Oryctolagus cuniculus: one gene and its partners. The protein of the gene in region 7 interacts with the protein of the main gene of each other region in a pairwise test. Links are inferred from orthologs where the notes say so. Each region holds a gene or a part of one and is shown on either strand. Other genes may lie near its edges. The genes, in order: APOD, EMD, TSPAN2, KCNK1, ITM2B, SYNPR and CREB3.

What was found.
Region 1: the proteins of CREB3 (region 7) and APOD interact in binary tests that used the Homo sapiens proteins (3 or more experiments, as listed by UniProt). The two-hybrid records come from large-scale screens. The link is inferred for Oryctolagus cuniculus from reciprocal best matches to the Homo sapiens genes CREB3 and APOD.
Region 2: the proteins of CREB3 (region 7) and EMD interact in binary tests that used the Homo sapiens proteins (3 or more experiments, as listed by UniProt). The two-hybrid records come from large-scale screens. The link is inferred for Oryctolagus cuniculus from reciprocal best matches to the Homo sapiens genes CREB3 and EMD.
Region 3: the proteins of CREB3 (region 7) and TSPAN2 interact in a two-hybrid assay, tested with the Homo sapiens proteins (2 studies listed by BioGRID and IntAct). The two-hybrid records come from large-scale screens. The link is inferred for Oryctolagus cuniculus from reciprocal best matches to the Homo sapiens genes CREB3 and TSPAN2.
Region 4: the proteins of CREB3 (region 7) and KCNK1 interact in a two-hybrid assay, tested with the Homo sapiens proteins (2 studies listed by BioGRID and IntAct). The two-hybrid records come from large-scale screens. The link is inferred for Oryctolagus cuniculus from reciprocal best matches to the Homo sapiens genes CREB3 and KCNK1.
Region 5: the proteins of CREB3 (region 7) and ITM2B interact in a two-hybrid assay, tested with the Homo sapiens proteins (2 studies listed by BioGRID and IntAct). The two-hybrid records come from large-scale screens. The link is inferred for Oryctolagus cuniculus from reciprocal best matches to the Homo sapiens genes CREB3 and ITM2B.
Region 6: the proteins of CREB3 (region 7) and SYNPR interact in a two-hybrid assay, tested with the Homo sapiens proteins (2 studies listed by BioGRID and IntAct). The link is inferred for Oryctolagus cuniculus from reciprocal best matches to the Homo sapiens genes CREB3 and SYNPR.

The regions. Positions count from the first base shown.
Region 1 is NC_091435.1:84,039,948-84,044,021, forward strand, and holds the start of APOD (apolipoprotein D precursor), read left to right. Parts: upstream 1-1,274; 5' UTR 1,275-1,327; intron 1,328-4,074. UniProt on the Homo sapiens protein: APOD occurs in the macromolecular complex with lecithin-cholesterol acyltransferase. It is probably involved in the transport and binding of bilin. Appears to be able to transport a variety of ligands in a number of different contexts.
Region 2 is NC_091453.1:132,604,237-132,608,277, forward strand, and holds EMD (emerin), read left to right. Parts: upstream 1-1,267; coding exon 1,268-1,349; intron 1,350-1,503; coding exon 1,504-1,611; intron 1,612-1,754; coding exon 1,755-1,832; intron 1,833-2,044; coding exon 2,045-2,178; intron 2,179-3,093; coding exon 3,094-3,140; intron 3,141-3,219; coding exon 3,220-3,541; downstream 3,542-4,041. UniProt on the Homo sapiens protein: Stabilizes and promotes the formation of a nuclear actin cortical network. Stimulates actin polymerization in vitro by binding and stabilizing the pointed end of growing filaments. Inhibits beta-catenin activity by preventing its accumulation in the nucleus.
Region 3 is NC_091438.1:55,278,106-55,282,173, forward strand, and holds the start of TSPAN2 (tetraspanin-2), read left to right. Parts: upstream 1-1,268; 5' UTR 1,269-1,341; coding exon 1,342-1,410; intron 1,411-4,068. UniProt on the Homo sapiens protein: May play a role in signalling in oligodendrocytes in the early stages of their terminal differentiation into myelin-forming glia and may also function in stabilizing the mature sheath.
Region 4 is NC_091444.1:53,016,388-53,020,641, forward strand, and holds the start of KCNK1 (potassium channel subfamily K member 1), read left to right. Parts: upstream 1-1,454; 5' UTR 1,455-1,462; coding exon 1,463-1,817; intron 1,818-4,254. UniProt on the Homo sapiens protein: Ion channel that contributes to passive transmembrane potassium transport and to the regulation of the resting membrane potential in brain astrocytes, but also in kidney and in other tissues.
Region 5 is NC_091440.1:67,251,882-67,256,169, forward strand, and holds the start of ITM2B (integral membrane protein 2B), read left to right. Parts: upstream 1-1,488; 5' UTR 1,489-1,739; coding exon 1,740-1,856; intron 1,857-4,288. UniProt on the Homo sapiens protein: Plays a regulatory role in the processing of the amyloid-beta A4 precursor protein (APP) and acts as an inhibitor of the amyloid-beta peptide aggregation and fibrils deposition. Plays a role in the induction of neurite outgrowth.
Region 6 is NC_091441.1:86,155,172-86,158,671, forward strand, and holds part of SYNPR (synaptoporin), read right to left. Parts: intron 1,571-3,500; coding exon 1,379-1,570; intron 1-1,378. UniProt on the Homo sapiens protein: Intrinsic membrane protein of small synaptic vesicles. Probable vesicular channel protein.
Region 7 is NC_091432.1:198,639,632-198,643,871, forward strand, and holds the start of CREB3 (cyclic AMP-responsive element-binding protein 3), read left to right. Parts: upstream 1-1,440; coding exon 1,441-1,878; exon of another isoform or gene 1,879-1,882; intron 1,883-1,979; coding exon 1,980-2,117; intron 2,118-2,214; coding exon 2,215-2,362; intron 2,363-2,438; coding exon 2,439-2,506; intron 2,507-2,625; coding exon 2,626-2,715; intron 2,716-4,240. UniProt on the Homo sapiens protein: Endoplasmic reticulum (ER)-bound sequence-specific transcription factor that directly binds DNA and activates transcription. Plays a role in the unfolded protein response (UPR), promoting cell survival versus ER stress-induced apoptotic cell death.

The DNA of each region.
Region 1 (4,074 bases), on a different chromosome or scaffold from region 7:
TCCCTCGGTGTGGACAATAACGTGGTAATGGCCTCTTGGGACACCCACGCTGAAATAAGACAGGGCTTATGTCCCCGTTGGCGGTCACATCATTGAGAGGACAGCACAAGCTGCCTGGTCCCCGAGGTCTCAGGAGACCTGAGCCAGGCCTGGCCTCCCAGTGCCCGTGTCCAGTCCCCTGAGCCTTCCTTCCGCTGCTGCCCACGGGTGGCCATTCACAGCATGGCGTGTGCCTAACACGCTAGCACTGTTAACACGGGACCGCTCTGAAATCACAGATGGCTGGGACAGAGGGGTCCTTACTTGTACCTGAGCAGTTAGGCTGTGTCCCCCAGGCCGGGATGCTTACCACGTCCCTCGAGGCAGTCCCTTCGGCAGTCCCTTCGGCAGTCCCCCCACCCCTCCCCCGCAGGCTGCTGAAGTGGATCTGGGATGGGCCCTGCACTCATCCTCCTAGCCGCCTGTTCTTCAGCATGCCTGTGCTCTGCGGGATTTCTCACGTGTCAGCGCCTACTCTGCCTTGGGTGAATTGCAGGACCCCCCCCAGCAGTGATGGGCTGCCTAGCACATGGAGCTGGCAGGGTCCTGAAGGCACAGAAAGAGGAGCCACCGGAGCCACCTTCTGCTTTCTGGGCTTGCAGAGCTGGTACCTCCCTCCCTTCCACATGCAGCTCAGGAGGGGACAGAAGTGACCACCTCTACTGCACAAAGAGGACTCTGAGGCTTAGGGAAGCTGAGGGTTTGCCCAGGACACCACAGCAAAGCAGCTCTGGTTCCTACTCCTCTCTGCTAACTGAGCCCCACTCCGGTCCAGCAACCACATGGGGTGGAGTCCAGACTCTGTATTAGAAAAGGGAACTGTTGACTGTTCATTTACAGAAAATGAAAAATAAATACCAGCTGTTTGAAAACATACTGCAACTCATCTTGCTGGAATTTAAAAGTGCATCTGACTGGAAAAAATTAAATCAAAGAAGTCCACGTAGCAAAAAAGATGTTTTGAATGAAAATGTGCTTTCTCTCCCTGTCTCATTTACATACACACACACACACACACGCACACACAATAACTCCTTGTTTCTTCTTAGGAGAGCAGCTGTGAAGGAAACCGGGGGCAGGGGAATGGACACAACATCCCATCTGTGTTTCATACAGAGCTGGGCTTTTAGGCCAGCTCTCAGAACTGTAGGGGGTGTGGCATGCATGCAGATTAAGGCCTAATGACCCAATGAAGCTTATAAATAACGTGGGAGAAGCCAGTCACCAAGAGAGCTATCTCACGTCGGATGAATTCGTGGACATCACTCTCTTCTTGGTGAAAAAAAAAGGTATGTACCATAGTTAAGTTTTCATTTATGATAAATAATGCTTAAAATAGAAGCAGTCATGGTCTTTCATTGTTCCCTTTCAACTAAAATTCAGAACCACCGATCGAGGGCCTATGTAGTAGCTTTATGAACTTGGTCTCACTTTTTCTTCAAACTAACATACAAGGTAGGTATTATTAGTGCTGTTTTTCAGGTGCCAATACTGAGGCACAGCTGTGATAAGCATCAGGCCTAAGATAAGACCAAAGTCAATGTTGACTCACCCCAAGCCTTCTGTTTATGCTATGCCTTCCCCCTTGTGAATGAAACAATGAGACAATTTTCCACGCACCAGTACCGCACTAGATGAGTTCTCATGGAGTTATCCAACTGTGCATTACAGTGAAATTAAGTGAAACCTGGAACTAACTGTGGGAATAGAAAATGCACTTCACAATATGGCATAGAAATATTTCCTTCCATTCTTGTTGGAGTTGGTGGCCAAGTGGGTTTTTTTTTTTTAAAGATGTATTTACTTGTGGCAACATGTTTTATTTTGTATGTGCAACCTTAAAATCTGCAGCTCCCAGAGATACAGGACTGTGTCCACAGAAACCCCCACGCACCAAGAGCAAGGGCTCTTAGGAGAGCTGAGCTTAAATTCTGGCTTCGCGGTTTACCGAAGGGGAGGAACTGGGGCCATTATCTCCATTAGGACAAAGAGAATATCTGCAGAGATCATTTCCAGATGAGGTGTTGTAGAGACTCAGGGCAGAACACACTTAAAACACTAATGCCAAGCCCTCACCATGAAGAAGATCAATGGGTGTATGCAGAGATTCGCAGGCAGTGCCTGGTCCAAGATAGATGCAGTGTTGCCATAGTGGAATTACTTTTTAGTTATTTAATATTCAATTTAAAATAATATCCAATAAATTCTATCTCCTTTTGAAAGTATTTAAAGCTCTCATTTGGGCAAGAAAAATATAAGTGTATGTCGTATGCAATCTATATGTCATCCAAGGTCATAGGCATACCTTAATAACACGCTCGCTAAGTGTTGGGTGACCCCCACGGAAGGGGAATTGGAAAATGCTGGCGATGCTATCAATCCTGCATCTCACAGGGAGCTCTGACCATGGGAATTAAGCTACTGCAGCCAAGAAGCATCTTTGGGAGAGGTGCAATCAGGGGGATTAGTCTTGTTCTGAAATCCTCCCACAGAGCTAAAGAATATGTTCCAGCCCACCAGGAACGCTTTGTAATAAGACATTTGTCAGAATCAGATGGAGAACTGCCTTTTGTTCTAACTGTCACGTGCTGACGCCACATTCGTCTCAGGTCACAGAGGCAAGTGCTCATGGAAAGACAGCACAGGAGCGTGCACAGGAGGAAGCCGGGGGCCGAGGCTGGAGTCACAGCTTCTCCCCTCGAGGCCTCAGTTTCCCCATCCGCACACTTGGAAGACAGCGTGGGGGGGGGACTGGCTAGGTGCCCTCCAAGGCCCTGTCCATGTTGGGGGGAGTCTTGCAGAACATGCATAGAGTGGCCACCCTCTGCAGTTAGATTCTCTGTACAGGGCACTTGGCTTGGGTCTTCTGAGATGAGCCGCCGAGGTTCTGAGAATCTCTTGAAAATGAACACAGATTTCTGTGGGCTTGGGTTGCATTCCTGCAAGCCCATCATCCCTGAAAAGGTTAAAAGACAGGAGGCGTTTATTTGGTGGTGGGAGCGGATGGGGAAAAGGAGTCTCCCAGAGGAAGCAAGGTGGTGCCAGGCAGACTTCACTGGGGGGGGGGGGGGGTGAGGCTGGTGGGGGAGGGGGCTCTGCTACCACCCCTCCCCCACCAGCCTCAGCTGGTAGCTTTCCCTCATTACATAACCGTTCTTTTGAAAACCAGGCAAGGAAGCCTCCAGAAGACAAGCTATTGATTATTAAAGTTATCTGGAGGCTCCGAGGCTTGTAATAAAGTGGTTATAATTATGCCTGTTATGACACAGCCTTTTAAATGCTCAGATCTGAGAACACTGTGCATGCGTTGACTCAGTCAGCCTCATCCAGGGAGAGGCAAGGAGCTGGAAATAGCTCGTGGCAGCTTAGCTTAGCTACCGGCTAAGCAGCCACAAGGAAGGGAGGAAGCAGGAGTTCAAGGCCAGCAAGTGGGGGGAGGGGGAGAGGTTGGGGGCCGGGCATGATCTCCCTCCCCTAGCGGGCTAACCCTCCTCAGGACCCTCCGGTTGGAACACTTGGCTGCACAATCACCCATCAGCTGAAGGTCCTTCCCTGGTTAAATGCCCAGTGTCTATGAAAAATACTCTGAATAGAATGTCAAAAACAAGGAAGTTTGGGAAATGCAATAATGCAATCATCTGTAGCTGCCTTTCAACAACAACTAGGGATCCCGGAGCACTGAGACTGAAGTACTAGGTCATCTCATGGATTGCTCACAGCTATGAGTGTTAGTCCCACTTCACAGACAGCCACTGAGGCACAGATAGACCCAGGACACTACTGTGCAGCAGAGCCAGAACTCAAGCCCATTCGGGGTGACCCTGGAGGTCCCCCCCCCCAAAACATACACGCCCCGCTCCCTGTGGAGGTCCCAGGCCCACTCTCAGGCTGGCCAACAGGGAGGCCTAAGACTTCAAACCCTGCACACGATTTTGTTTGTTTAGCTTTTCCCTCTCACGGCTTGCTGGAAGGCTTCTCTCGCCCGCTTTACCTGCCGCTGCCCCACGCCGCTGCTGTTCCTTTCTGAGTCTGACA
Region 2 (4,041 bases), on a different chromosome or scaffold from region 7:
CCTGTGACCATCACCAGTTTGGGCCCTTCAGCCTGGAGCTGATCAGAGCCCTCGCACTTTCTTGTCACCAGCTAACATCTGTGAGGCCAGGACGGCACCTCATCTCTTCATGCACCCACTTCTGTCACTTCCTTTCGACTCCCCAAGGGGACAGCCCTCTTCTGATTAAGACCCTTGCCAACCCAGCCACAGTACAGGAACCTGAGCAAGCCTTGGCAGTCTCTCACGGCTCACCAGGCTCCTCTGCCCCTGCCCGGCCCCCTCCTGGTCACTGGGCTCAGGGCCATTCCGACTGGAGCCCCCTTCCCTTCCACCCAGTACCCCGGGTTGACAGTAGGGTGGGCTGGGAGGGCACACTCCCTCTCCGAAGCGCGCTCTGCCCGTGCCCGCTGGAACGGCCCGCCGGGCCCCTTCGAAGGCTGTTTGCTCCAGGAGTGCCCGCGTCCTCCTGGCCCAGTGCCCCATTTCCTCCCGGGTGGAGGGCGGGAGGAGCAAGGGAAGGAGGGAGGGAGGCGATGGGAACCGATGGGCGCAGGTGCGCAGGCGAGGGCCGGTGCAGGTCAGCGAGGCCGGCCTGGGCCAGGGGGTCCGCGTAGCGCACCCAAAGCGTAGACAGCAGTGGCTGGCCCGAGAGCGGCGCTGTGCAAAGGGTGGCTCCTTCCCGCTGCTGCGGGAGAACCCTCGGCCTGGGATCCCGGGAAAAGGGGGACGACGAGTGCAGGCGCAGGGATGTGGCAAGAGTCAACCGGCCCGAACCACCGCAAAGACACCCACGCCGCCGGCTCCCTAGCTCCCACGTTCTGGCCGGTTTCTACCGGTTCGGGTCGCATAGGCTCCGCCCCTCCCGCGAGTCTAGCTCAGAAGCGCCTGCGTGTGACGTCTTGGCGTGCCCGTCCAGCCCCTTTTCTCGAGCGTGCAGCCCCGCCCACTCCCACGGCCTGAGTAGTCTGAGCCACTTTGGCTCCCACACAGGCCCCGCCCCTCTTCCGCCACAAACCAATCTCGCACGTTTTTGAAATACGAGCTCGCCAGGCCCGCCCCGCCCGCTCCCACAGCTAGACCGGTCCGTGCCGGCTCCTCCTTGTGGTTTGGCTCCGCCCCGCGCAGCGCGCGCAGCCTGCGGAGCCCGCGGCCATGACGGGAGCGTGACGCAGACGTGACGCAAGCGCGGCCGCTCCCGAGCCCTGCGAGGCAGTGGTGTTGCTTGGCCTGTGTCGCCAGGCCCGGGCTGCCCCCAGCCCTTCGCCACCTGCCGGCCGCGCCCGCGATGGACGACTACGCGGTCCTGTCGGACACCGAGCTGGCCGCCGTGCTGCGCCAGTACAACATTCCGCACGGGCCAGTCGTGGGTACGCGGGAGCGGGCGGGACGCCTCCCGGGACTCGCTCTCCCGCGCGCCGTCTCGCAGCCCCCCGGTACCCCCCGCCTGCGTCCCCTACCCAGATTCCCTCCCTGGGCTCGCAGCCCACGACCCTGACCGCCCCGCGCCCGCTGTCTGGTCAGGCTCCACTCGCAAGCTCTACGAAAAGAAAATCTTCGAGTACGAGACCCAGAGGCGGAGGCTCTCCCCACCCAACTCGTCTGCTTCCTCGTTCTCCTATCGGTTCTCGGGTGAGCAGCTGGCTGCCGGTGGTGACAGGGAGGGTGGGATTTCGAGGGTGTGGCGTGGGGGGTGGGTTGCTAGCCGAGAGAGGCACTGCGAAGAAGGGAGGGAAGCCTGGGGGAAAATGGTCTCGTCCCCCCCCTCAATTCAGACTTGGATTCGGCATCTGTGGACTCGGATAAGTACGACCTGCCCAAGAAAGAGGACGCCTTACTTTACCAGAGCAAGGGTAAGGCAAGGAATTGACACCCTTAACACCATCACCCCAACACCTTCACCCACCCTGTCCCGGACCGTGGGCGTAGGGAAAACCTGAGGCCTCGACTCCCCACCAGCCTCAGCGACCTGAGAGGGGCCCCAAAAACGCTGTTTAAATAAGGGTCCCTGGAGCAGCTGGGGAACACGGGTCTGCCCTCTGCTACCAGTGCTCCCTTTTTCAAGGCTATAATGATGACTACTACGAGGAGAGTTACTTGAGCACCAGGACTTACGGGGAGCCCGAGTCTGTGGGCACATCCAAAGGCTTCCGGCAACCCGGGACTTCGCTTTCTGATGCTGACACCTCCCACCACCAGGTGAGCTGCCGTCGGGCACCTCATATCCGGGGGCAGCTTGAAGGGATGACAGCTGGGTTTGGGTAAATCCCAGCATCACTGGGTACAAATGCTAGCTCCTAGGTTTCCAGAGAGAGTTAGGATGAGTTAGGACTTTGCTACGGGGCGTGTCAAGAGTATTTGACTAGAGCACACAGGATGTGGCCTGCACCCTGGTCAGGATCTGAAGTTCCAACTCAGAATCCAGGGGGAGAAAAGAGGGTTCTGGGGTCAGTGCTGTGGCACAGCAGGTTAAGCTACCGCCTGCAGTGCCAGCATCCCATGTGCATCCAGGTTGGAGTCCTGGCTGCTCCACTTCTGATCCAGCTCCCTGCTACTGTGCCTGGGAAAGCAGTGGGGGATGGTGTGAGTACTTGGGCTCCTGCCACTCCCATGGGAGACCTGGATGGAATTCCAGGCTCCTGGCTTCAGCCTGGCTCAGCCCTGGCCATTGTGGCCATTTGGGGAGTTAACCAACAGGTGGAAGATCTCTCCCTCTCTAACTCTGCCTTTCAAATAAATAAGTAGAATCTTAAAAAAAAAAATGTTTATTTTCATCTGCTTGAAACCAGAGCAACAGGAAGACAAAAAGAGAAAGTGAGGTCTTCCATCCCCTGGTTAATGTCCTAAATGCCCAGGATGGGGGCCATGGCAAAGCCAGGAGCCCAGAACTCCATCTAGGTTTTCCACAGGGGTAGCAGGGGACCAGAAGCAAACCAGCCAAAACTTGAACTGGCACTCCGTATGGGATATGGGCACCCTAACTGGCAACCAAACCTGCCACGCCACAATGCCTGCCCTGTCTGGCCTTTAAGCAATGGTTAGAGTGGGCTGAGTAATACGACAGGCTGTGCTGACCCTGCTGGCCAGTCCCGTCACCTCGATTCTGGTCTGCAGGTGCGCAGTGACCATCTTTTCTCTTCTGAAGAGGAGGACAAGGACAGGTGAGTAGTGGGAAGGCCCTGGGAGCAGTGATTCTGGGCCTAGCTCTCCTGGCTCACCTGCTCCCCTCTTTTGCATTAGGGAACGCTCCACATATGGCCGTGACAGTGCCTACCAGAGCATCGCACACTACCGCCCTGTTTCCAACGTCTCCAGGAGTTCCTTGGGCCTGTCCTATTACCCTGCATCCTCCTCTTCTGTGGCCTCTTCGCCTTCTCCATCATGGCTCGCCCGCCGTGCCATCCGACCAGAAAAGCAGGCCCCTGCAGCTGGTCTGGGTCAGGACCGCCAGGTCCCACTCTGGGGCCAGCTGCTGCTTTTCCTGGTCTTTGCTGCCTTCCTGCTCTTTGTTTACTATTCCTTGCAGGCAGAGGAAGGCAACCCCTTCTGGATGGATCCCTGAGGGTCTTGATTTCAGAGCCAGCTCTTTGAAGTCCTGGCTGTCTGCCTTAGTGCAGTGTGTGCTGGGGGTGGGGGTGGGGGCTTTTCTGTGTGTTCTAGCTTTGGGGGCTGGGCCTAGCCCTGAGCAGTGCTTGCTCCCCCTGCCTGCTCCCACCAGGGAGGCAGCAGACTCGGGCCCTTCACGTTCTGGTAGGCCTGGGCGTGCCTTCCTCTGGAGCCTCCTGGCCCTGCTTGCCTCTGACCCTTAGGGCCTGGGAGGGCAAGACTTCACTCCTTCAGAGATGTTGTCATGTGCTCATGCATGCCTCCTGTTCGTTGTCACCTTTTTGAGGTTAACCAAGGGCCACCTCGACTTTGTTTTCGTGGACGCAATAAAGACCGTTTATTTTTAATGTGTTGGCTCTTCCTGCTGGGGGAGAGGCTGGCTGCCATGCTTTGGGGTCTCTGGGTCTTAAGGTTTTTTAAGGATTGTCACCTGGCTTTATTGATTCTGTGGTTTTG
Region 3 (4,068 bases), on a different chromosome or scaffold from region 7:
TAAAGAGGTGGTGCCTAATGGAGGTCTCAGGAGGTCCTGCTCTCCAAGGGGATGAAGGGAGTTCTCCTGGGACCCCTAGTTAGTGAGTTGTTACAGAAGAGCCCCTCCCTGGTCTCCGGCTTCCTGCCTAGCTATGCAGTGGCTCCTTCTTGCAGGTCAAAGGCCAAATTGGACAGAGCCTCTGACGTTGGACTTCCAGCTTCCAGACCGGTGAGCTGAATAAAACCACTTTTCCTTACAAATCACCCAGCCTCTCGCGTGTTTTGTTGTAGCAACAGAACACAGACTGATACAGTTTCCCTGGCCAATGCACTGCGACACAGGTGGTGCCTGCCCAGCACCAACCCAAGCCCTCTCACCTTGCCCTATTTATGTACTCACAGATCTGGGTTCACCACCAGCACCAGGCCTGGCTGTCCCCTCCTTGCTGCACCCCTGGGGCTGGCTGCTACGCATGACCTGTAACAGACGTTTAAAGCTTAGCTGAATCAATGCAAAAGCTGGTGGATTCCACACTTTCCTGTCTCCTGTATACTGTCTGACACCACATATTGTAGATAGTACAAAGGAGTGGGAGCCTCCTTTTCCTGCCAGCAGCCCAGCTTAGTAAAAACAAAGCAAAGCAAAACACGCCCCCTTTCCTCCCTTCTCCACATCACAATTCAGATCACCGAATCTGAACGGCTTTCCAGCTCTCCCGTCGGCGAATCCAGCCCGGACGCGGGGAGTCCACCACCCCTGCACCGGCCGCCGGGGCGGGGGAGCCGCTGCGAGAAGCCGCCTTCTCGCAGTTCTTGCCTATTAAGGTAAGAGGCTTCGGCTGGGCGCCGGAGCGGCCGGGGGAGGGTCCCCGGGAGCCGCCTGGCAGCCCGCGCGCCCGCACCGCACCGCGAACCCAGGCCCGGGGCCCGGGTCGGCTGCACCGGCAGGCGCGCGGCCGGCTGCAGCGCGGCCTCGGGCTATCTTCTCTCTAGCACCGGAGTCGCCCTCCTGGGTTTCCATGGCCACCGAGGCCGCGTCCTCAACCCTCCACCTTCACCTCGGGCCTCCAGGGAGCCCCGGCCGCAGGCGACGCCCCTTCCCCGCGGAGTTCGCGTCCTCCCTGGAAGGCAGGGCGGGAGGTGGGGCGGCCCCGGGGTGCGTGGGAGGAGCACACGCGCCCCCTCTGGCCGCGCCCCCACCGCTCGCCGGCCTCCGCGCTTCGGGTCCCCCCCCTCCCCGGGCCCGCGCCCCGCCCCCCGCAGCCCCGCCCCGCCCCGCCCCCTCCCCGCCGGCGCCCGCCGCTCTTGGCGCTCGGAGCGCGGGCCTGGGGACTCGGGAGCCCGCCGCCGGGGCAGCAGCATGGGGCGCTTCCGCGGGGGCCTGCGGTGCATCAAGTACCTGCTGCTCGGCTTCAACCTGCTCTTCTGGGTGAGAGCCGAGCCGGGAGGGCCGGGCCGGGCAGGGGCCGGCCGGGCGGCGGGCGCGGGGCCGGGGTCCCCGGGGAGCTGACCGCTGCGGCGTCCCGAGCCGGGCTCCGGGCAAGGGAAGGGTGTTCAGACGGCGGAGGCGAGAAGAAGGCAGACAAAGGGAAGGCAGAGAAGGGAACGGGAGAAGGGCAGCGGCGGCGTGGCTCTTCCCCACGAGGGAGCCCTCTGCCCGGGGTAGCATCCCACAGCGGAGCCACCAGGTGCTGCTCCTCGCCTGCCCAGGCTCGGTCCGGGGCGGCCCCCAGATCCGCCGGCCTCCTGTGCTACCCCCGTTTCTCTCTGCCATCCTGCCCGTGCCCAGCCAGGCCGGGTGTTGGAAGCGACACCCCTGGCCTGGAGCCGCGGGGGGTGGTACCCCTTCCGTAGCGAGTGGACGCACCCCCTGGCTCCTGGTGGTTTTGTGGAGGAGACTGAGGGATAGGAGTGAAAACGGTGAGGGATGGGGGCAGGGTCGTCCTTCTTCTGAGCATTAGGGGAGGGTGCTGCCGGATGGGGGGTGGTGGTGGGTGCTCTTCCGTGACAGGGGTGGGGGATGGAGGGGTCTCCCAGAGACATCTGCCCCCAGGCCCCAGCCCACAGCCCGCAGCCTCTGCTAAGCACTAACGCTCCCAGAGATGATCTCATTCAAGTTTGCAGCGTTTTATTGAACTGACTCCATTCCCAGAATTAGTGGTTCGCAGAGAGGGAGGGCTATGACGCGTGGCTCCTGTATTCCTGGGGCACGGCCAAGGCTAGACCATCCCCAGGTGCCAGGACACCTGGTCCCGGGCTCTGGAGGACTGTAAGACCAGGTCTGAAAACTGTGTTGTTGGCACCTTCCTTCGTGGGCTTCCCTAAGAGAGCACCAGCCAGTGCTAGGTCTCAGGTGGTCTCACAGAGGGCTCCTTTGGGTGAAGAGGTTCTTGGAGCCGGGAGGAAGCAGCAGGGCCCCGGGGGTGCTTTGAACCCACTGGGCTGGAGGTGAGGTCCTCCTATCTGCTCTGAGGAGGCTGTCTTCGCATGACTGCAGCCAATGAATTATTGAACAGTGGGTCCCGCTCCCATCTGCCAGCCTATTAGCCAGGAAGGCTCCGGACCTCCGGCAGCTCCAAGCTCTGCTGCGGCCGAGAGGCCTCCCAAGCAGCCGGCAGCAGGGGCGAGTAGACAGGAGGCGCACAACAGGCAGCCCCTGCGTTTTGAAGAGGCACGTGGCATTTGTACACCTGGTATTTATTTCCAGCGTACTACAGGGAGAGCCATGGCAGAGTCCCGTATGTTGCATTTTTTAGTAGCCTGCCTTAATTTCAAAAGCCGTGAATAATAGATGTCTTGCTGTAGTGACACCCTTCATTCTCTATGCTTACAAATCAAAAGAGGTTTTGAACAGCCTGAGAAGGAATTTGTAGGCTGGGTTCTGTGCTTATCCATCGCCTGATGCTGTGCCAGCATTCCCAGGCACAACTGGAAGCATTGACTGAACGTGTGCAGTGGGTCAGGGACAGAGCTAAGCGCACTCCTTTCACTATTACACGTATTATTACTTCTTAGTAGTAGTAAGTCATCACACGCTTACTACTGTTATCCCCACGTTTTGCAGATAGGGAAACAGAGGTTCGAACAGGTTCACTTGCCCAAGATCCCCCAGCTCAGGGCAGAGACAGGGCTCCCCTCAACCTACCAGCTCTCCAACACCGTGGGGCGTTCCGTTAAGCAGGGGTTCTCAAAAGTGTGGCTCCTCAACCAGCAGCCTCAGCATCTCCCGGGAATTTGTCAGACAAGCACACTCTCAGCTCATGGGACCCTGCAAGTGTTTCAGCCAACCATGCAGGCGATTCTGACCCATGCTCCAGTTTGGGAACCACTCTTAGAAACAATTCACGGGCAAGACATGATTTATGAATGTGGGACACTGTCCACCCAGCTGCTGCTCTAGCTGTGGAGACACGACTGATACATATAGAACAATGACAAAAAGTAAGACAGCTTGTTGCCACGTGACAGATTTCACACTGTGGTCTGTGAACGCAGGCAAGAAGGAACGGAGGAATGTTTGAGTGGCTCCACTGTTAGCCAATGAGGTTAGCCATGACCTTGTAAGTGCTCTAACTAAGGAGTTTACAGAAAGGGTCAGAGCACTGGCGGAACCCAGAGAATACTCCTACAAAAGGACATGTTAGGGTGAACATGTGGGACTGGTGGGATGGGGGTGGGCACAGGTGAGCCACCCGTGGAGGGGCAGAGCCAGGGGCCAGTGAGCTGCCGTCTGGCCTGGGAAGCAGCAGGCTGGAGAGCAGAGAGCCCAAGAAGGGTGTTCTTAGGCAAGTTATTCTTTCCTCTAGCTGGTACCGGAGTTGTTGAGAAGATTAACAGGAATCGTATGAAGTATCTGCCCTCACCTTCCTATGAACCTAGTGCACAAGAAGTGTTCAGTGTCATTGTTTTCATTTTTCAGTGCCGGCATGTAGGAAGCGTTCCATAATGTTAGCTCTCTTTCCCCTGACCCCTTTCATGGCGAGGGGTCGTACACAGGTGCTCGAAGCGACTTGGAGCTCATCTTCACTGAACAGTAACTTCACATGCCCCTCCCCCTTTGACCTTCTGAATTCTCCCTGGGAACAGG
Region 4 (4,254 bases), on a different chromosome or scaffold from region 7:
GCTAAATTTTTATACTTGATGCTGATTGAATATCCCCAATCCTGCATTTGTGAACTTCAATTTCTGAGCCCAAGTCAAAGACTTGCCTACAGAGCTAACATGTTTACAAATTATTCTCATCATGTCAACCCATTGAGATAATTATGCCTATTTAAGCCTAATTATCGTGCAACACAATACTGATCATTTATGTCATCCTCCAGTGCAGAGTTTGTTTCTTATAAAGCATGGTTACTATTCCACAGGTTATGTCAATTCGCAGGAACTCTGATGAATAAATCAGAGGCAGCCTTGCTCCCACTCACTTAACATCCTCTTCCCCATGCCAATTCCACCCTTGTGAATCTCTGCACTCTTCTGAGTTTTCTTCCACATTGAGGGCAGCCCCTGGTACCCTGGGATAAGGGTGAGGCAGCGGTTCACCCTATTTGGGAACATTTAGAATGCTTCTGATTCTTCATTATTTCATAAATGTGTATCACATGCGTGCATGTATCGATGTTTATGGACAACTTACATAGAACCCGTGGCCTCTCCGACTGTTTTTTTTCTGGGACACCCCACCCAGGACATGTATACTCTTTCAAGGCTCTGAAACAGCGCCGAATTACCTTTCCAGAAAGGGGACACAATTTTTAACTCAATAAGGCTCTCACGCCCTTAAAAAGAAACGCTCGGGGGAAGCTGTTTCTTGTAGTAACTGACCCACTGGAAACTTTCTTTACGGTAAAACCCAAGGTCACATCTTAAAGAATCAGAGTTCAGAACCAGGGCCTCCCTCAGGTCCTCCTAGGGAGGGGGATGCGTGGGTGGGAGGAGACTTCTGGCATCCAAGGAGGCTCTGGCACCAGGCTGCTCCACTGTCTGGCCAATGAGACAGAGAAGGCAAGTGTCCCGGCGCTGCTTTGGGGGTTGACAGGGAGGAAATACGTGGGGAAGCGAGAGTAGCTGGCACTAGGGGCTTGGTCCGCGGGCGCATTGACCCGAGATTTCCCACCCTCCTCTCCCGGAGCAGTTTGCTGGGGTTCGGTTCCTGGCCCCCAAAAAGGAGCGGGAGTAGCCCGAGGCGGCCGGGCAGAGAGAGGGTCTGGCTTCACCGAGTCCCCGGCTCACCCCTTGCGAGCGGGCGTGGGGCGGGCGAGTCTCCTCGGCCCGGCGCTCGGGCCAAGTTTGCGCGCCGACTCTCGGGTTACCTGAGCCGGCAACCACGTCAGCGCCACATCATCTGGGCTTTTTATATTGCGAGGAAACAGGAAAAGAAGGAAGAAAAACAGCGCCGGAGGGAGCCAATCGCTGGGAGACGCCCGGAGGAGCGTGGCGGGCGGGCGAGCGCGCAGGACAGCAGGCGGCGGGCCGGGCCGAGCCGGGGCGCGAGCGGCGGGCGGGAGGGGGTGGCAGGCCGCGCTCCGGCCGGTCTGCGGCGTAGGCTTCGGCTTTGGCATTGGCGGCGGCGGTGGCGAAGATGCTGCAGTCCCTGGCCGGCAGCTCGTGCGTGCGCCTGGTGGAGCGGCACCGCTCGGCCTGGTGCTTCGGGTTCCTGGTTCTCGGCTATCTGCTCTACCTGGTATTCGGTGCCGTGGTCTTCTCCTCGGTGGAGCTGCCCTACGAGGACCTGCTGCGCCAGGAGCTGCGCAAGCTGAAGCGGCGTTTCGTGGAGGAGCACGAGTGCCTGTCGGAGCAGCAGCTCGAACAGTTCCTGGGCCGGGTACTGGAGGCCAACAACTACGGCGTGTCGGTGCGCAGCAACGCCTCGGGCAACTGGAACTGGGACTTCGCTTCCGCGCTCTTCTTCGCCAGCACCGTGCTGTCCACCACAGGTAGGCGGCCGCCGCAGGCCCCCCAGAACGCCACCTCGCCCCACAACCCCTGTCCCAGCTCCCCTGGCCCGCCTGTCGCCTGAGAGCACCTGCCCCTAGAGTGCCCCCGGCTCTCCATCCCTCCAACCCCTAGGGCGCTTCAGGCCCCTCCAGCCCACTCCCAGGTTCCCAGGTCCCTCCCCGGGTCCCTGCTGCAGTGACTCGGGAAGGGCAGGTGCTGCGAGCCGGAAACCACGAGGTGGACGCGGAACAGGACTTGGGTGTTGCCGCTCGTAACTCTTGGGAAGTGGTCCCTACGCCCTTCCGTCTGGGCGGCCGCAGGTGCCTCCTGCCGCCGGATACCCTACGCCGGGCCTTGGAGTTTGGATCTATAGCCCCTTGGCAGCCAAGCGCAGCTAGTGGGCTGGGAAACACCGGCCAGTGCTCGCTGGCGCTCACCCTCCTCCTGCCCTGGTTCAGGAGGGCCCCTGCGGCCGCAGAGTCTGAGGACACTATGCTTACGGGTCACCTTCCCAAGGGTGACCTCTCTTGCGCTCAAGCGTACCTATTTCGGTTCTTTTGTGCCCGGTAGGCAGTTTGGGGTAGCCGGGTGACATCACTGGGCCCTTGGCGCGTGACCTCTGAGCTCACCGGTCGATCGGGTTTCTTTTCAGAGTAGGACGGGTGGGGAGAGGAGAGGCGAGGGAACATCGATGGCCTGTGATCTGCCAAAATGCGGGCACCCTGGTTCAGCGGGTGTTTCAACTTTTAAGTGTGCGAGGAGGCTGGCGGGTGAACTTGGAAGCGGCAGCCGCAGGACGCTCAGGAAGGGAGGCGCGTCCCGGCGTGAAGGAGAAGAGGCGCCTGCCACAGGGCGCCGACCCTGCCCGGTGAGGTGAACCGAGGCCCGGGTTCCCTGGCTGTGGCTTGCCAGGCTTCTACACCTGGACGGAGGCGCCGGGCGAGCCTCCGGCACAGTCCCTTCTTGCATCCGTGAGATCCAGTCCTTACAATGGCCCGTCTTGGTGTGCACAAGGTCACACACATCTTCCTTACCCATGTACTCCCGGCGTCTGGGCCTTGGGAGTTCCCTGCCTGGAACACATTGTAACCCCTCCATCTGCCTCCACCCTTCCAGGTGATTCAACAAACCCTTTGGTTAGGACTAGGACACTTCCTGGATTATCGCCTCTTGTCCACCTCCTGGGGTTCATTTGCTTATAATCCTCTTTGGGCTATACCTAGTTGCTTGCTTTGGTAATCATTTGGTGATGAGTAATAATACAGTAGATGACATAAAACAATTATTCGTGAGTCTGGGGTGAATTACTAAGCCGATGTGAATTTTTCCTAAAATAGAAGTGTAATTCTAGCTTGCTATTGTGATGTTTTTAAAACTGTGTTTAAGGTATCCTTAAACAAGACAGACCTGTTACCTCACTTCCCAAAGAATGTGTACTCTTTTGCCAAATTCTGTCTCTGTTGTCTTTCTCTAGCTCTGTTTTCAGACCGCTTAGAAGTTGCCATGCCTTTCTTTTGGTTCATGTCTGTGCTAGATTGAGACTCATTCATTCTTCCCAGAAGTGAGAGTCTCCACTGGGCTGCTGAATGTTTACAGCCAGGTCACAGTGTTGGGTAAACATTTTGAACAACGATGACAGCTTTTAGTGTTTTCTTAGTAATGGTATTTTGAAGATGGAACAGGAATAGAACAGTGCTAGGTAGTGCACTGTTGAGTGTTGCTATCACTGATGATGCTCATATACTGTCATCAGTGTGGACCTAGTTCAGTGTCAAAAATGAATTTGATTTTGATAATCCCCCCCCCCTTTTAAATTAACAAAAATGTAGCTGCTGTAAAAATGGAGGTAGGGATAAATGTCTTATTATTGGTATGCAGTTTACATTGTAGTTCCTAAGAAAGTCTGCATTCATGCAAAACAAGAGGTCATTTAGGAAATCAGGGCAAGGGACATGTAAGGATAGACTAACTGAAAAAGGTGCCTTTTGGTTTGTACAACTAGTGGGTCAATAAGCTGTTGTTATATGAATAAAAGTAGTCTGAATGAAAGATACTCTCCTATTAGTTTTGTACTCATCCATTATTTGACTAAGTTGAGATTCTTTGGTCTCAAAACACTGATTCTGTGCCAGAAGTTCAGACAATTTTTAGAGCAAAGCTGATAGACTTAATTACTAAGGAAAAAAATGTCCTGGAAAAGGACATTGTTTTATGTGAACTGAAATGTATTGGAATCGCTTTTATTTTTTCAGGTGGCTATTAGCCATGTGTTTTTAAATTGCCTTTAAAACTCTTCTCATCCCATTGGTGCTGAGTCGCTGAGACAGTTGTGAGTGCATCAGCATAATCCATCCTTGACTTGTCTAGGACAGCATTGATGGGCATTATAAAGACAGTGTTCTTGGAAGTCATCCTATAACAGGTGCATGCGCACAT
Region 5 (4,288 bases), on a different chromosome or scaffold from region 7:
GATTCTATAATTGGAAATGGAGCCAAAATCTTTAAACTAATTTGTAATTTTGCCCTTTGACAGATCGATGTAAGTATAGACATAGGAGCTTGCTTAAATAATTCCTTAATCTTCAGTTCTAATGTCCCAGGAAATCCGTGCAAGCAGGGCTCAGAGAGGTGGGGAGCAATGGCTAACTTCGAGAAATTGGATTCCATTTTTACTATCAAAAGTCAGTTCACGGGGTCAATTCAGAGAGTTGAAGCCTGTGGAAAGGAGACCCAGGGAGATCAAGTAAGTTACTGCTAATCATGTGACTAGCTTGTTTAAAACAAGCAAGAACTAGAACTCAAGTCTTCTCAGCCTGCGTTGAACACTTTGGAATTTCAGATTAGCCAAGAAGACCAAAGCGCTGAACTGGATTTCTCTCTCAGTCCCTGATGTGTCTGAAATATGTGCTCTGAAAAGATGCTGAGAACTTGGACTATTTCTCAGAGATTTCTGATCTGACATTCTACGGAGACTTCAAGACATCTAACTCTCCTTGAGCACAGCCAAATCCCCAAGAACCTCAAACTCAACCTACTTTTCTTGGGGTTGATCCAGGGCAGAGCTGACATAGTTGGAACATTCTGGAGCACACCCACAACTCTGGCTGAACCAGGCCAATCTTCTCCAATGGGAGAATGGTACAAAACCAAACCGTTTGTCCAAGGGGCCATCTGTTGTTAGTTAAAAACCCAACAGCCGTGTTGGCCAGTATCTGTTACAGCTTTCTCTGCGAAACCTCTTCAAAATAGGAGACACGAAGAGATTATCTTTCATTTTGCAGAAAAACAAGGATTCCTCACCGAGCACCGATTTGCCTTGAATCACAAATCAGCCCAGTGTGCAGGGTTTTTCCCCCCAAGTCTGCACAAGCGTGGAACATGTTGTTTTACCAGTGTGATTTGTTTGAAACAGATCTAAGAGTCTTCCTCCAAAGGGCTGTGGGATTAGGCTGGGCAGGCGCGGACATCCCGGGGAAGGCAGATAAAGAAAACAAGACAAGACTGCGTGAGGCACACCCTTGGGTGAGGTCCTTGGAACGGAGGTCAGACCCCAAGGGATAGAGAGAGCTTTGAATATTTCCGTGCTCCACTGAGGCGGATTCCTACTAAGAGCAAAAGGAGACGTGGACGCACAAAAATTCCGCGGTCTTGAGGCTCGCGGAGGGGCGGGGGCAGCGGCCGGGGAAGAGACAGCCTGGTGCTACCTAAAGTGGATCCATTGTACGCGGCGAACCCAGGAAAGTTCAGCCGATTTTCCTATGAACCTGCAACACTGAGTCCCAAGGCAAACCGGCCAGAAACGAGTTCAGAATCGGAAAGGCCAGGCGACTCAGGAGAAGGACCGACCCTTGAACCAAGCACGTCACCCCACTCCCGCGTTCCTCTGGCCGCTGGGCCTCCGCTGGGCCTCCGCTGGGCCTCGGGGCCCGAGAAGGGGCCGGCCCCGCCCCCTCGCCGCCGGCCCCGCCCCCGGCCCGGGGCTGCGCGAGCCGTCTCCGCCCTCGCGCTGAAGCTGGGTGGCTGCTAGGGCCGTGCCGCAGTCGCCGCCTCAGCCGTCGCGGAGCTGCCCGAGTCTCGTCTGCCGCCGCTGATCCTCGTCCGGAGCCCGGCCGAGGAGGCTGCAGCCGCAGCCGGGAGCCCGCAGCCCGCGCCTCCAGCCCGCCGCCGCCGCCGCCGCCGCCCTTCTCCGAGGGCGCCCCAGGCCGCGCCATGGTGAAGGTGACGTTCAACTCGGCTCTGGCCCAGAAGGAGGCCAAGAAGGACGATCCCAAGAGCGGCGAGGAGGCGCTCATCATCCCCCCGGACGCCGTCGCGGTGGACTGCAAGGTCCGAGCCGGGGGGAGGGAGCGGGGTGCGGGACCCGGCGGGAGCGGCTCCGGAGCGGGCGGGCGCTGCTCGCCCTCCTTTGTGAGGGAAGTGCGTGTGCAGGGAAGCGGCGCTCGGCGCTCGCCAGGCCCGGGAGTGGACGCGTCGAGAATTGCGCCGCGTTCCCTCTGGTTTGTGAGGCCCGGGCTGGCGGGCTGGCTGGCTTGGTTCCGCCTGGGTCCGGGCGGCGACAGCAACACAACAACAGCCGAGTCCGGGACTTCCCTTCCCAGGATAAATAATATCCCTAAAATGGCTGACATTCCAAGCCTAAACCTCTGTTGTTTGCTACTTTCGTTTCTAGCCGAGCAGCACTTGGACTAAGTCCAGCCACTGCGAGCGTCTTCGTTTTTTCAAGCATTTTCCTCTTCACTGCCTTTTTCCACGGCCCTTCGGTCCTGGCGGGTGAACCTCACCGTGGGGTCCGGAGAAGGGGGGGGACAAGGTGACAGACAGACTGCCCGGAGTAGGTTCTGGCCGTGTATCTCACAATGAAAACCGATTATTCCCAGTGAAGGTCAACTGTTAGGTAGATGTGAGGCTAAATCCAACAGTTGGCTTTCAGATCGTCTCACCGAGTGCTCCTACTGCTATAAAGAAATTTGCCCCCGGGTCCCTAATGAAATCCTCCTGCTGTGTTAACTTTTAGTTGCTTGCAGGATTATTCATTTAAGCTGAGTGGAATTGTCTCAAAAGTTACCTCTGCCTACCAGATCGTCTCTAGGCTGCAGAAATTCCATCCTGCAGAAGTTAACTGTAGAAGTTGGATCGCTTAGCTTATTTTTTCAGTATCACTTTTCAGGACCTGTAAATTTGTTTTTAAAAATACAGTCGTCTGTGGGCCAGGTGTGAGTGATAAAAAATTTTTATATGCTCTAATGAAAATTACTCCTGAAACGTAGGCCACTGATAGAAATTGAAAATGTAATGTTAATCTGGACTGCAGAACTGGCACGGGTCGATTTTTTTAAGTGACTGCCTTGCTTTGAAACAGGAACAGTGAACGGATTCCCTAAAAGGATTAAAGGTTTGGGGTTTAGGATTGGTATTGTTTTTCTGAGCCCATTGTAAACAGTCTTGGTCTTAAAAGAAAATGTTTGGAATGTATAGACAGAAATTTCAGTAGGAAATTATTATCTTAGGTCTTTAATATATTCCTTGGGTCTAAAATAGGTTGACAGTCAAGTACTCAATTACTACAACTCAGATATATACATTATTCTAAACGCTATTCCATGTATTTTTAAAATCTTATAAACAGATATAACTCCTCCCAGTTTTTTTTAAAAAAAAAAGAGAAGAGAAAGCACTGGATGATGTCACTTCAGACAGCTTTGCTGTGTTCCACTGTAGTGAAGGAGGTTTGAAACTCTGGGCAAATATGATTGCATTTACTGAGCTGCTTTAAATCTATCTTGACAGTTTCTGTCGTTCCTGAAGTTCTCAGAGTTTCTCACAAGTTCACCATATTTAAATTTTGTGGTCATAGCAGCTATAAAAGGTGAGCTATGTATTCGAAGCTTTGTGCTTTGTTTTCTGGTTATTTTCTCAGATTCTCATATCTAAAGAAAAATACTAGGACTGGCAATGAGGGCCAGAGTCTTCCTTTGTATTTTTTTTTTATTTATTTTTATTTTTTTTATTTTTGATAGGCAGAGTGGACAGTGAGAGAGAGACAGAGAGAGAAAGGTCTTCCTTTGCCGTTGGTTCACCCTCCAATGGCCGCCGCTGCAGCCGGCGCACCGCGCTGATCCGATGGCAGGAGCCAGGATCCAGGTGCTTTTCCTGGTCTCCCATGGGGTGCAGGGCCCAAGCACCTGGGCCATCCTCCACTGCACTCCCTGGCCATAGCAGAGAGCTGGCCTGGAAGAGGGGCAACCGGGACAGAATCCGGCGCCCCGACCGGTGTAACCATACAGCCGTCATGGATGAATTGGTAGATAGAAAATAAGTCCGTTTCCAGCTTTAAGCTGAAAAGCACGAGTTTTCTTTAAGTGGATGGCAGATTTTTTCACTGCGTTAATCGTTAAAATCAGTCACTTACATGCAAAGGAAAAACCTGACTTGCTGAGAGACATTTGGGAGAGAACTTCTGATCTCTCCATCTCCAAGCTTGGGCGGTGATTACATAATGTTCTGCCGCTCCTTGGGGATGAGTGGCTGTGTGGCAATCACCTTGTCTGACTGCCTGAGCTGGGAACAGAATTAGTCTCAGTTTTACCTGGGGCATTTCCTTCCCTTGATTGGTGTTGAGAGATCAAGTGAAGCTAGTTATGGTCCAGAACTGCGGGAGACAAATGTCTAATACCTTTAACTCTCCTAGACCACAACATGCCATAACCCCTGTTACTGGTATTTTTCAAAGTGTGCTGTTAAGGACCACCTGCTTTGGT
Region 6 (3,500 bases), on a different chromosome or scaffold from region 7:
AGTTGGAAAGGAGTTTCCTGTCACAAGGAACTAAAAGGCTCTTCAGGGACATAGATACATACCTACAAGCACAACATATGATTTGATTTTAATATGACTCTCTTTTTGGTTTTACAAGCACATCATTTTGTTTTTCACTCATAATTCCTATTTCAATCTAAAGTTTATTAGAGATATCAGAAGTGGAATTAAAGGGAACATACAGGGTCTCATAATTTATTAGGAGATGATTGGACTAAGAGATACATCAAGTAATTTGATTTTTGTCCCTTTATGCTTTGAGATCAGAGTGACAATAGCTTCTATTAAACACTGTCCAGAAACAAATGACAGAATAATAACTATATTTGTTAATGCATACCTTGAACTATTCATATGCATATATGGCCAATAGTTAATAAAAAGTTTCGAGACCCTCGTATATAGTTTATTTCCATGGTTACCATCTCACCAAGGCAGGATTCAGTCAAGTCATCAGGACCAGAGTAGAAACATTTTCCCCTTTCTTAACTGTCTTCCCAGATTGAATTTGAGAAAGCTGTACAAACACAGGCTAACCTTGAAGAAAAGATAATTTTTTCTTAGGGTTTACTTAAGAATGCTGTTGCTTCAACAAACATGGTTGAGCCTTGTATCTGTTGATGACTGCTGCTTTTCCCGGCCACTACAGTTTATGTCTTTGTGAGAGAGAGCTTCTCTTTTTAGAATAACACAAGTTTTAACACTTATAAATTAAGAATCCAATTTAGTGTCCCTGGTGTCAGCTTGTCTCTCTTTGTTAGAGCTAAATACTTGTTAATAATATTTGACTTTGTTCAACTACTATAATGCCGATCTTCTAAAATCATCAAGTAATTAAACTGGGAGCACAGAGAAGACAAAAATACATTACCATAACCATTAGAAGTACCTTTTAATACCATGTACTGTATTTCTTTTTGTAGCCTACTAGGTCTGTGTTTTTTTCTTTAATCAATAAGGTGTGATCTACATGTGGCTTCATGTTTCTTCCCAGGAATAGACTTCTATTGCCATCACATAGTCCTTTCAACTTCTCTGACAAGCTTCAGGATTAAAGCTCAGATTTTACATTTGCTTCTGGCTGGAAATTTTGACTTGACTGTTATCTAAACAGCAGCTGCTAATACCTGCTGTGTACTCATTAAGAACTCTGCAATGGGTGGCATTCAAGTCTACGGCTTCTCACAATAAAGAATTTGAAGGCCAAAGCATCACATTGCACCTGAGGTGAAAGATCACCTCTTTGAGAGGTCTAGTTTTGGAGGCAGAAATTTCCAAGATGACTTCTGAGATACTAGTCTTACTCCTTTGACACACAGAGATTTGGGAAGGAAAGCACACATGCAAGCCTACTCACCACGGAAGTGTTGAGGCTGGACATGACAGGGCTGTGGACAGCCATGCATTTGTTGGATGGCTGTTTGCAAGCTGACATCAGTAATAAGACTTCCTTGGGGTCTGTTGCAACTTTGACATCAGATAGTCCTTTCGCCCAAGCAGATGAACCCACCAACCACAGGAAGGAAAAGACTACGGTGACGATGAAGTCCTACAGAAACAGAAGAGAGCAAACAGCAAAGGGGAACATGAATTCTAAAAGCAAATGGTTAAGTTTATGTACTTATTTGGCCTTTTGGAAACTTAGAATATTCTGTAACATTGGAATAGAGGAAACATGATGAAAAACAAAGAACAGAAGGTTTATGATACTTGTATATAAATAATTGTAGTGTTTATTCAATGCTTATTATGTCCCAGGAGTAATGCTAAGGACATGATAACCATAATCTATTTTTCTCATAGCATCCTGTCAGGGAGTTTTTACCATCATCCTATTTGTAGATTACAAACTCAGAAAACAGTTGAACAACATGTCTAGAACATGAAAGATAGGCAGGGAATGTATTGGGATCCAATACTGAGTCCAACCACTTAACTAAAATGCTGTCATGATCTCAAATATGTAGAGAGACTTACCAGTTGTTAAACACTTCTGGATGTCACTACTTACTCATTTATTCACTTTTTAATTCAGCAAACCTACAAGTTATTTATTGCAATGCCTGCAGATGTGTTTAAAAAGGTGGGAGACAATAATAGCTATGTGTTCTAAGTGCTTACCATGGATGAGAAGTTTTATGTAAAATTTTCCTTATTATAATCCTTTTATGTAGTTATATATAACATCCATTCTAAAGATAGAGAAACTGAGGCTCAGCTACATAAGGTAACACATAGAAAGTGGTGGAGCCAGAGTTGAAGTCTGATGTGTTTGGCATCAAAGCCACCTGTTGTGTGTGCAGGGGAAACAAGTTTCTTGGCCCACATCATACAATATTTCTGTATGTAAGGCAATGACCATTTCAGAGAACCAGCATCTGTGTACTTCCAGAGGGGGCTAATTCCATAGCTTCCTGTTGATTCCAAGAGGTGGCTAGTGGAAGTCACTTTCTAAGGGGTAAGCAGAGTATGTTTCACTGACTAGGACAATTTTCCAGATCACCTGTATTTTTTTTTTTATTTTTTATTTTTTATTTTTTTTTTAACTTTTATTTAATGAATATACGTTTCCAAAGTACGAATAATGGATTACTATGGCTTCCCCCCCATACCGTCCCTCCCACCCACAACCCTCCCCTTTCCCACTCCCTCTCCCCTTCCATTCACATCAAGATTCATTTTCGATTATCTTAATATACAGAAGATCAGCTTAGTATACATTAAGTAAGGATTTCAACAGTTTGCTCCCACACAGAAACATAAAGTGAAAAATAATAGATGATTTTTTTTAATGATGATGAAATCAGATCAGACCTATTGTCATGTTTAATCCCAGTGAGAGTCAAGTTGGGAGTTGATAGTTTTCTTTTTTTTTTTCTTTTTTTTTTTTTTACAGAGGATCAGTTTAGTATGCATTAAGTAAAGATTTCAACAGTTTGCACCCCCATAGAAACACAAAGTGAAATATATTATTTGAGTACTCGTTATAGCATTAAATCTCAATGCACAGCACATTAAGGACAGAGATCCTACATGAGGAGTAAGTGCACAGTGACTCCTGTTGTTGACTTTACCAATTGACACTCCTGTCTATGGCATCAGTAATCTCCCTATGCTCCAGTCATGAGTTTCCAAGGCTATGGAAGCCCCTTGAGTTCTCCGACTCTTATCTTGTTTAGACAAGGTCATAGTCAAAGTGGAGGTTCTCTCCTCCCTTCAGAGAAAGGTATCTCCTTCTTTGAAGACCTGTTCTTTCCACTGAGATCTCACTCACAGAGATCTTTTGCCAGAGTGTCTTGGCTTTCCATGCCTGAAATACTCTCATGGGCTTTTCAGCCAGATCTGAATGCCTTTAGGGCTGATTCTGAGGCCAGAGTGCTATTTAGGACATCTGCCATTCTATGAGTCTGCTGAGTATCTCACTTCCCATGTTGGATCACTCTCCCCTTTATTTATTCTATCGGTTAGTGTTAGCAGGT
Region 7 (4,240 bases):
AGGAAGGATGCAACATGCAGAGCTAGGGATGAGAGGTAGAGAGGGGGCTTAACAGCGAAGGAAGGAGGGGAGTGGGAGGCAATGGGACTAAGTCCCGAGGGATTCATTCATCCCCTTCTCTCACACAACGGTGGCCCCTGGTCGGCTTCCCCCTTAGCCACTGCTCTCCTCCTCCCTGGGTGGTCCCCACTGCCTGGGTCCCTGGCCATTGCCCACCTCCCATCTCATACAGAACACAGTCCAGCAATCCCTGCCCCGTAACTGTGGTGGCCACAGCAACAGCATTGAGCTTAGAGAGGAATCGAGGAAATTCTACCTGAAGTCCAGAACCCCAACCCAAAATGTGTCATCTCTCTGGCTGAAAGAAGCTCCTGTGACTAAATAAAAATGAGGGGACTTCCCTCCCCCCCACTCTCTCTTTCTCTCACACACACACACACACACACACACCAAAGGCATCGATCTATTGCCGACCTCTTAAATGTTATCTGCCCAAGGTCAATATTCCTGGCCTGGGTCTGCCCTTAGTGCCCTAATTTGTTTCCTCATTCTCATAGAATCCCCCTCCTAGCAGAGACCAGCAAGCATCCAATCCTTGATCCCTAAGGCTCAACTAATTTTTACCGTTAGCACCAAATCTGCTGACTTTAACCCAAAATGTTGACCCCTAAGTCTAAATTAGCTCACCTGTAACTTGATTCCTAACTCACCTTTTCACTGTTTATCCTTAAAACTGACCACGACAATATCCTATGATCCTTAAAATGGACTTCTAACCTAATTCCTGTTGTTGACCATTAACCTGACCCTGAACTCTTTTAACTCTGACTTACCTCTGGTCATCCCAGGAAACAAAATAACGACCTCAACCTCAACCTCACTTATTTATAAAACGGATCTAAATCACGCCAATAACTCAAGCGTTAACCCCGGCCTTACACCTCCTAAAGAGACCCTTGATTCCCAAACCCAACCCCACCTAAACCCAGACTCATCCACAGCTCTCCAGCCCAACATCCCCGCTATCAGCAAACACCAAAGCCCATCCCCGCCCTGCGCCCCGCGGCCGCCACACTCCTCACCCTTCCCCAAAACCTATTCCAGGCCAAGGACTGCTCCCGCAGAGGAGCCACCTCCCGCAGATCGGCCTGCCGAGACACCCTGGAAGCTGACGTCTCCCCCAGAACCCGCCATAGACGCGCCGCAGTCAGGGGCCGCGCCCGCCCGCCTCCCGGGCCAGACCTCGCGGCCCCACCCCGAGGTTCCGGCCCGGCCCGCCGCGGCCTACCTGCGCTGCCCGGCTCTGCGCCCCGCCCGCCGGCCCTGCTCGTCCTCCGGGCCCGCTCTCCGGCTCCGGCCTCGCCCTCCCTTCGCCACACTCGGCCACTTCCGTCCCCGGCGCGTCCCCCACCCCCGGGCGGCGCCCTGGGCCCGCGCTCTATGGTTTTGGGGACCTGCAGGAAGCTGCTCTGGCCCCAGCTCTCGATGCTCGCGAGCCCGCCGAAGACTGGCAGCCCCTCCCCGGCAGGAAGCCAGGGCGCGGCGCAATCCGGAGAAAACACCCCAGCGGCGCCCGAGTTCCCTGTTACACTCGGACTCTTCCTTTTTTCTAGCTCGGGGCGAAGGCGGAGGCGAGTCGCCGGTGTCCCCGCCCCCGGGGCGGGGACGTCCCCCTCATTTGCATCGCCCCCGGGACGTGGCGCAGCACCCGAGCCACTTCCGGCTCGGAGGGAACTACAAGTCCCGAGAGGCCGCGGGGCCGCGTGCGTCACTTGTGCTGTGTTGGAGGCCGAGGGCGACGGAGTCCGGCGGGTGGGTGGGTCGGGCTTGACAGCGACTGCCGCCCCGGCAGCGGGGAAGGCCAGCCGAAGAGGAGCGGTGGGTAGGCGGGAGAGACCCGGCGGTTGGGCTGGGGGTCGTGCCTGGGGCTCGCGTATTGGAACCGGGCTGCGAAGTGAACCCTTGAGTTTCTGCCGTAGATGTCGCAGATGGAGCTGGCGTTGGACCCTGGCGATCAGGACCTGCTCGGCTTCCTGCTCGAGCAGAGCGGAGCATGGGGGGAGGCAGCCGATGAGTCGGTGGAGGCGCCCCCGGATTGGGAGCTGCCGCTTTCCGAGGTGGGTGGGTAGGGCTCCGCGTCAGGGAGGCGCGGCACGTCCGCGAGACCCGGGTGTCAGTGACAGGCCAGGGCCTGGGAATTTGAACCCGGTGCAGGTACTGAGCGACTGGGAGGCAGAGGATCTGCTGAGCACCCTGCTGAGTCCCCCGGCGTCGTTGGCCGACCTCAGCTCCTGCGAGCCCTCGCCTGTGCACCACGATCACACTTACTCCCTCCCACAGGAGCATGTCTCCGTGGACGTAGGTGAGTGACATCAGAAAAGTTGGGAGCTAGAGGAGAGGGTCCGTGGGCCCGGCTAGTCACAATTGCCCTTTTGCAGATAGTGGGAGCTATGGGAAGGAGGAGGCTCCGATGACTCCGCTGTATGTGGAGGAGCCAACAGAGCAGGTAGCTGACTTGATTTTCAGGAGGCTTATCCCCACATTGCACGGGGCGGGGCGGGGCGGGAATTCCCATTTCTTTCGGACATCCCCATGCAACTGCTGCCTACTTCCCCGTAACCTCAGGAGGTTGCTAGGCTGGTACTGACCGAGGAGGAGAAGAGGCTACTGGAGAAGGAGGGGCTTACTCTGCCTGGAACGCTTCCTCTCACCAAGGTAAGGCTCCCATTGGTGGGGCAAAGGCTGGAGGGTGTAGGGGAGGGAGAGTGCAGAGAGGCTGGTCGACCTGTACCGGAATGCAGTCAGATAGGAGTCACTTCTAACGTTATGCTTGGTAGCAGCTGCATTTCAAAATAGCTAGCAGAGAGGATATTCAGTTTCTGATTCAAAGAAATGATAAATGTCTGCAGTGATACATGTGCCAGTTACCCTGCCCTACTTATTTTTACATTGTATACATTACTTAAATGTCACTCTGTATCCTATAGATGTGTGTAATATCAGTGTCAAAAATAAGATACACTTAAGAGGTGAACATCTTAGCAGAGTTGTTGGTTAATATGCTAGATGCAAGGGTGGATCCTGGTTTTGTGAGGCTTCTAACACATTTTGGTGTTCTAAGAAAAAAGATTTCAGAATTATCAATGCAACATTAGCGTAGGGCCTTGGGCAGGACTGTGCAAGGGAAGGGCTCTGCCACTTGGAGTTCATCGGCTTGGTGGTAATCTACATCGCGCTGAATGGGAGAATTGTTTTAGGGAGTTCAATGAGGCTGGATTAAGCCTTCTTTTTTTTTTTTTTTTTTTTTTTGACAGGCAGAATGGACAGTGAAAGAGAGAGACAGAGAGAAAGGTCTTCCTTTTGCTGTTGGTTCACCCTCCAATGGCTGCTGGGGCTGGTGCACTGCGCTGATCTGAAGCCAGGAGCCAGGTGCTTCTCCTGGTCTCCCATGGGGTGCAGGGCCCAAGCACTTGGGCCAGCCTCCACTGCAGAGAGCTGCAGGCCATAGCAGAGAGCTGGCCTGGAAGAGGGGCAACCGGGACAGAATCCGGCGCCCCGACTGGGACTAGAACCCGGCGTGCCGGCGCCGCAAGGTGGAGGATTAGCCTAGTGAGCCACGGCGCCGGCCTGGACTAAGCCTTCTAACAGTACAAATGTAGAAGCATAAGTTTTAAGTTTCAACACTGGGTGGTGACTTCACAAGCACAGTATTGTGACCCTGTAATAAAATAAGTACTTATTAAAGAAATTTTAACTTCTTAAAAGTACAAGATGAGTCAGCAGTGAGATATGGCAAAGCAAGTGGGATGTGGAAGCAGCGTCAATACATGCATTGTCTCTAAAAAGGCAAGACTGTCTTGCTGTCTTTTGTACAAATCACAGTGCATTTTAAGTGCCCAGTTTTGGGCCTGTATCTTTGACAGATACCAAGAGGATGCAGTGATGGTGAAATGTTGGGTTAAGAAGTCTGTCCAGGGTTTTTTTGTGTGTGTGTTTTTTTAAACTCTGAGGAAATGCCAACAGCCTTAAAACAGCTATGTAGAATTTTGTTCTACACGACCCCAGAGATAAGTTCAATGGATAGAAATTACATGGAGGCAGATGTTAATTCAGGGTAAGAAATTTTTCAGTGAATGAAATTGTTAAAAATGCTCTGGCACCTGTGATCTTAACACCTGGTCTTTAGAGGCATTCTGATGGAAACCAAAATGGCTACTGGTTAGGGAGGCTAGACAAGGGA